Linked DNA regions of Schizosaccharomyces pombe. Changing the gene in region 1 together with any one later gene gives a genetic interaction. Each region holds a gene or a part of one and is shown in the gene's direction. Other genes may lie near its edges. The genes, in order: SPOM_SPBC1604.16C and cao2.

What was found.
Region 2: mutations in SPOM_SPBC1604.16C (region 1) and cao2 together harm fitness more than expected from each alone (negative genetic interaction), as found in Schizosaccharomyces pombe (one large-scale study listed by BioGRID).

What each region holds. Positions count from the first base shown.
Region 1 is NC_003423.3:3,899,495-3,903,139, forward strand, and holds SPOM_SPBC1604.16C (G-patch type RNA-binding protein), read left to right. Parts: upstream 1-2,084; 5' UTR 2,085-2,137; coding exon 2,138-2,737; 3' UTR 2,738-2,916; downstream 2,917-3,645. Other genes in the region: cmp7 (ESCRT III complex subunit), read left to right, coding at 1-55; protein Tti2, read left to right, coding at 553-627, 672-1,676, 1,725-2,048; gpi16 (pig-T family GPI synthesis protein), read right to left, coding at 2,926-3,645.
Region 2 is NC_003423.3:4,426,803-4,430,738, reverse strand, and holds the start of cao2 (Cu(2+) amine oxidase-like protein Cao2), read left to right. Parts: upstream 1-2,000; 5' UTR 2,001-2,119; coding exon 2,120-3,936. Other genes in the region: SPOM_SPBC8E4.05C (fumarate lyase), read right to left, coding at 1-549. UniProt on the Schizosaccharomyces pombe protein: Copper amine oxidase-like protein that does not show any copper amine oxidase activity. May be the appropriate amine substrate for cao2 has not been identified yet.

The sequences.
Region 1 (3,645 bases):
GGATAAAAAGACTTCGAAACCGGAGAAGATTCAAGCTGAGCTGGTTGAGCAATAATTTATATACGTCCTTTTTTAACGATCACTTAAATTCACGGGAAATGGTTTGGTTTACTAATAATTTATGCACATACTAAAGAATAAATGAATACTATAAAAACATTTTTCTTGGTAATAACTATAAAAAACAATAATGCTTATATACTCAATAGAACTTATATAGCTAAAGCGATAAGGTAAAGTACCTGTGTAATGAATTGATGTTAGTTACTAAAAATTTTGCTTTTTATACCTTTAAAAACTAGTAAATTGTTAATTTATTAAATTGATTTCTTGGCAACGACTTAGAAACTTACAGTATATCACATACTCTATAAGTTTATATTATTAGTGTATGACCATAGCTTAACATGAAATACTTTTTTCATAGAATTTAAGTTCTCTAATAACTAAGTGACATTACAATTCTGTTAATATTCTTTGTTTACAAATCAAACAAATAATAAAACATTAGACTTAATAATTATCTAATAGAAGTTTAAATTGGCAATATCTATGCAATATTACAAAGAGCTAGCTAGGCGATTGCATACTCTACAATCAAAAAATGAAAAAGAAGCTCTTGAAAAAGTACCGTTTTTAATTCACTATTTTCAAATTTTAACCAAATATAGCAAATAGACTTTTTGGACAAATTGGTGGTAGAGGTGGACTCGTTGGTTCATGAACAAGATTTGAGGCCATTATTAGAGTTCATTAGCCCTACTGAAAGTTGGTTTTTACTGGGTACGGCGACAATTTTTTATATTAAATTATTAACTCATCCAGACCCTGAATCGATTGATGTAGTGATTAAAGAAGCGTATGTTGTGCGCGCTCACCGGATATTAAGCATTTTTCAAGAACAGTTTATAGAAAATGTTGTTAAAGAGATCAATTGGGAAATCCTAGCTATTTTAATATCATTAAGTGGAATCGAGAATGGACTTGTACGCAATTTGTCAGAATTCCTCTCAACTTCAATCCTCAGCGCTGTTCCTAGACAAAAATTCTTATTATATCTTCTAGAAAAGTATCAAATAAATCTTTTTCATAGAGAAGAACGGTTGACAGATCAAGGTAGACCGGTTGCATTTGAATTACCACCAGACAAATTTCACAGTGATCAAAGTAAAGCACTTCTTGAGCCAAAGTGGAAAACAAAAAATTATCTCATTTCTCACCTTATTTTTTGGATAATTGATCAGCAAAGTTCTTCTAGCATTGAAGTATGTTGGCACAGAATCATTCCATCTGTACTCCGAATATTGAATGATTTATCTCCAAACATTAAACTACAAGGAATTGAGCTAGTCAACAGATTGTTAAAAATTACGGAAAGAGAATTTCTTTTATATACTGGAATTCTAAAAATTTTGAAGGACGATTTGCTCGTATTCTATACTTTCATACCGCCAAGATTTACAATTCAAACGAGTGTTACCCTTATAAATGCCTCCTTCGCAACCCTAGTTTCTCTTTATCCTGAAGAAAATGAAAATTTAAATTCTATTATGCTGAACGGTATTAATTCTGTGTTTCAGTTTGCATTCGATTATCCCCTGATTCTTCAAGCCGCATTTTCTCAAATTATGGTTTTAACTGACAAAATGAATGTTAGTTATTTACCATACCTAACGGTAATAATTTAAATTCGTTACATTTGAAAGTTTACTAATCGCACTTAGTTGACTCTGGATGAACTGTGTCGTATAATACAAAACCCACAAATCATACAGATACCATCGACACTCTCCTTTTTTTTAGAAATATTAACAAAACTATTGGAAATTTACAGTTATCGAATATCTGCACACCATGTTGAGTTATTAATGGCACTAGTGGTTTGCAGTAGAAATTATATGCGATGTAACTTACAAGAGCATCACAATGCAATTGTACAAGCGCTTCAAAACCTCTTCACTTTGATAAAATTGAACATAACTGTTGAGCAACTCGGTGATTACAATGTAATATTGCCACTGCTTGAACCCCTGCAAATCCCACTTTGAGGTACATATAAGGAAAGACTCTCCTCATTACTAACCAACCTTCAACCTAGATAAATTGGTAACAATGGTTATTCGAAAAACGATGGAAAATGGAGAATAAAGGAAATATGGAGCTGTCAAATTCTTATGGTTTTTATAAAAATGGTCGTAGGGTTTCATTCGTAAAAGCCACTAGTGAACAATCGTTGGACGAAGCCACTTTTATTGAAAAAGGATCGGCACAAGCATTTTATCATTCGTTATTTGAAAATGATAGGGATAATTCGCATACTATGAACAGCAAGAGGGACGAAGCTGGTTTTGCTTGTGAAGTGTGTCAAATATACATTCCAAATAGCAAAAAAATTAATCATTTTAAATCAATGACTCACCTTCTTTCTTCACAACATATTTCAAACAAATTTCAACCCCATTTATTAAAACCAAAAAGCCTTGGTTATCGAGTTCTTTCTCAGTATGGTTGGTCTCCCCAAGGAGATACTGCTGGATTGGGTTTGGAAAATCAGGGTCGTCGTGCCCCGGTTAGAGCATTTCGTGTAAAAAATGATACGATTGGACTCGGTACCAAGATTGATTTGGAGAAAGTTGCAGTAAATAAATGTCGCAAAGGCAAGCGTCAGTGCCAAATCCAACACTCAAAGGATGTACGCCTTAAAGAAGCTTTAATTAAACATTTTTCGTCTAATTGAGTTTATCCTTCTTGCATATGTCCAAACGTCATTAACAATTTTAAGTGTGCTAAATTTGTCCCATTGAATGTACATATTTTATAGTGTTTAGTCGATTGGTTATAAATCTATAGTGTTCAGTTAAAACACAATTGGATGTTTTTTTTTCATGAGGTTTTGTTGTGGAAACACATTAATTAAGGATAGCATCACCCTCTTTTCTTATGAAATATTTTTTCTTTTAGTCTTTGTAACATGGAGGGCTGCCTGTTTTGAAATTTTGATTGTTGAGGTACAAACCGCCGAGTAAGCAAATTAAATATACCCCCAAATGTAAGCGCTATAACTGTTGAAGTAAATATGATTACGTTATACGGCATACTAAAATCTGGTGTAGGAATGAACATTAGAAGCGCAGCAGTTCGTAGGCTACAAAGCTTGGTATTGTTTTCATCAAACACGCTGATTATTGCTGGAGGAAGATTGTAACCACGATTTGCATCGGGAGGATATTCGTCTAGGCGTAAGGGTGTTTTTTCTACATTAAAATGAACAATCAGATTTGTATGTGGAGGTATTGAAAACTGGATTTCCATCATCGTGCCTGCCTTGCGATCTCTTAACGGTTGATAATACAATTTTTCAATAAAATCTTTAGTATTAATACGTGTTCCATTCAAAGTGATAGTTAAAGTATGTAAGTACACGCGCACGAACCAAGGAAATTTTTCAAAATAAACAATAGTTCGAGGAGAAGATGAGGGATTGTAAATTGTAGAAGACAAACTTCCCCAATGGTTGCCATCGTTCGAAAGGGAACGATCAACAGTGACTGTATGATTATCGGAAGTAGATTGAATAGGGATTTGAATATTTGCAGCTTCGTCTAAACTAAAAGTGTCAATTTTATCGCCATTTGAAACAAAAAC
Region 2 (3,936 bases), 530 kb from region 1:
ACAAAGTCTTTGGTGATGTCTGCGTAATGTAGCGACAAATCTTGCCATTTTAAATCCAAACGTAATTGGAACCGCCTGTTGTAGGTTGCTACGACCAGCCATAGTTGTTTCACGATGCTTGATTACAAGAACGGTTGCAAGTTCAATTGCTTTTTCGAGATAGCCCTTTATGATTTTGAAGCTATCGATCATTTGTCGTACAGTAGCACTGTCCGTCACATCTTGAGTAGTTGCACCCCAATGGCAGTATTTTCCTGAATCACCGCTACATAGATTGGCGAGTTGATGAACTACTCCAAGAACTGGATACCCAATATTAATGGTCTCTTCCTCTAGCTTCGAGAAATCTATGTTCTCAACTTTACAAACCCTTTGGATTTCCTCACCAGCATATTTCGGAATTATGCCTAATGATGCTTCTGCCCTTGCTAACGCAGCTTCCCAGTTTAAGTATTCTTGAGTGCGATTTTCATCTGACCAAATTTTTCGAATTTCAGCATCTCCAAAGATATTACGAAATACAAAAGAATCTGATACACTAACTGGCATTTTATTTAATTCTTTGGCTATCAAGCACTAGAAATGTGCCGGCACAAGAAGGCATTTTGTTTATATACTTGAGACGGCGTAAGCTCCTTTCGTCATACCTAAACTCTAAGTGTAATCATTGTTCAAAAATTAATTAACTGTACAAATCACGCAGTGCCTTAATAAAGTACTTTAAACAATATCTACCTTAGAATATTGAGGCATAACTATTAAGGATATATAGTAGGTTTAGTGACTGTAGCGCTCGTATTGAAGATAGGAATAAATTTAGGAACTTTTTGCAATTGTATGAAATAAAGATTCTTCTTTATTTTCACCTATTCACCAAATACTTCCTGAGGTTGAAATTAAGCATTTTTTCCAACAAAAATGCAGATCTTGAGTTCCTTTCAACTGGTAGCGAATAATAAAAAAAGAGTTTAACATTTGAAAGAATATTGTTGAAAATCACTTTTTTGGTGTTAGCTGTTAATTTCTGATTGTTAAGGACATATATATGTTTATGCTATGAGTATGACATATGCGAAAAAGTTCGATCCCTCGTATTGTTTGTTCAACTATAAACCATCAACGTATTAACTAAACAAACCAATTCAAGTCCATGTAACTATTTGCGCATTACATTGAACTGAGAATAGTCAACATCTTTCTTGTAAGAGCTTTCCTAGACTAAAGGTTGACAAAACAATAAGCCTTGAAAATTCAACTACCTTTTTATCTAGTATTCTAGTAGAATAACAGTTTTATCTGAATGTTTCTGGAATCGAGCTACTAGTAATTATGTCTTGTTAATTATTGCTGTAAACTCGACCAACATGGGATGCAACACACAATCATTAACTTTTTTATGCTAAAATGATGCATATAATGATGCCGATGAATGGAAGGAATTTTTGTTACTTATTGTTATTATATTTTTTAACTCATTAAGTAAGGCTTCTCAATTCAGTTATCCCAAGAATTAATGCCTTCATTTCCATTTCAACTTGCGGAAGCCCTCATTGCTATTAACTTTTAACCATTAAATGCAAGAAATTTGTATTTATTATTGAACAATGGAAGTATGATTTATTGAAAATGATAAGGATTCCATTTGTTTATTATAAGACGTTGATTGTATATTGCATAGACAAGAGTATTGTAATACACGCTACATTTCAATTGCAAGCTACTGCATATATATTAGGGTTGTAAGTGCGCTCATTGCGTCAGTATCGATTTATTTAGATTGTAAAAGAATATTGACGGGGCAATTTCAGGTATTAGCGATTGCGAAGATTACGGGTCCAACGATCGTAGCTTCACTCCCGTATGATTAATGATCCCACCAGACGGGTAAGGATTTACAGCAGTTCGTCATACTAATCGGTTGCGGGTACGGTATTTACACGAGGGCGGAACGCTAATTTTTCGTACTTTATAAAAGTAGTGAGGGTATCCGCTAAATGTTGGCACAACATTTCATATTATAGCAAGGCAGTATTCGGTGAAACTATCAAGAAGACTAATTATTTAACGAATTATCAGAATTTGAAGACAATTTTATTTTATTTGAGTTCAATTGAACAAAATGGCAGAAGAAAGTAAAGCTGCAGAGTACTTTGATCCATTGGACCCATTGAGCTTTAATGAATTAAGATACGTAGTAAACCTCGTTCGGAAAAGCTATCCTGAAAAACAAATTTCTTTTGATGTAGTTACGCTAAGTGAACCACATAAGGAAGAGTACGTTCATTGGAGATATTCTTCTGCTCATGAAGGTATACCCGACAGAAGGGCTTACGTGATTGTACTAGAAAAAGAAGTTCCTGGAGTATTTGAAGGAATTGTCAACCTTACTACTGGAAAAATAGAGAAATGGGAGCATTCCGTTGATACTTGCCCAATAATTACAGCGGATCTACTAGCCATTACTGATGAAATTGTAAGAAATGATGCAAATGTAATCGAGCAATGCAAAATATGCGGCGTTCCTGAAAGTGGATTGTCTAACGTCTATTGCGACCCTTGGACCATTGGTTATGACGAGCGCTACGGTTCTGGTCGGAGGCTTCAGCAAGCTTTAATGTATTATAAACCCGGCGACAGTGGTCATCTTCGTTCCATTCCGCTGGATTTTTGTCCTATAATTGATGTTGATCAGAAAAAGGTGATAGCTATTGATATTCCCAAAGTAAGACGTCCTATTCCTCAAGATGTAAATTCGGATAACAATTTGAAAAAGCTTGAGCAGGAGATGGAAGCTATGAAAATGCTTAAACCACTCCGTATTACTCAGCCAGAGGGTGTAAATTTTCGTATTAAAGGACGCTATATCGAATGGCAGAACTTTTGTTTTCACATTGGGTTCAACTATAGAGAGGGAATTGTTTTGTCAGACGTAGTTTTTAATGAGGATGGGCACCTTCGCCCTCTTTTTTATCGAATTTCGCTTACTGAAATGGCGGTTCCTTTTGGGGCAAAAGGACATTCGCATCACCGAAAGCATGCATATGATTTAGGGGAATATGGTGTAGGATACCGAACAAATCCTTTGTCTTTTACTTGCGGTTGTGAAGGTGTTATTCATTACATGGATGCTGATTTTGTTAATTATCGTGGTGAAATAACAACTATAAAAAATGCAATTAGCATCCATGAAGAGGATGACGGTGTGCTTTTTAAGTATTCTGATCTCAGGGATCGCAATGCAAATATTTCAGCTAGAAGTATTAAGTTGGTAGTCTCACAAGTATTTACTGCTGCCAACTATGAATACCTTGTTTACTGGATTTTCCGCATGGATGGAGTTATCGAATGTGAAATCAGACTAACTGGAATTTTGAATACGAACGCCATAAATGAAGATGAAGACTTAAAAGGTCATGGAACACAAGTATATCCAAAGATCAGCGCTGAAAATCATGAGCACTTATTTTGCCTTCGAATCAACCCAATGCTTGATGGTTTAAGGAATTCAGTTGCTACAGTGGATGCATTAAGGGATAAGAATGGTACTCTAGTATCAAAATATATTATTCCAGAGACAGTAACTGAAGCAATCAGCAACTATGATTCATCTACCGGTAGGACCTGGGATATCTGTAATTTGAATAAGTTACATCCGTATTCTGGGAAACCTGTATCATATAAGCTTATTTCTCGAGACACATCGCCTGTACTCTCGCAACCCGGTACTACGAATTCTGATTGTTCAGGTTTTGCTGAAAATAATATTTACGTAACTCCTTACATGGACGACCAAATCTTCCCAACTGGTGATTATGCTCCCCAAGCCTCTGATGATACGCCTAAGGGGTTATCTAAATGGATATCCGATGATCCAAATGCACAAATTAAGAATACCGATATCGTCGTTTGGCACACTTTTGGTATGATCCATTTTCC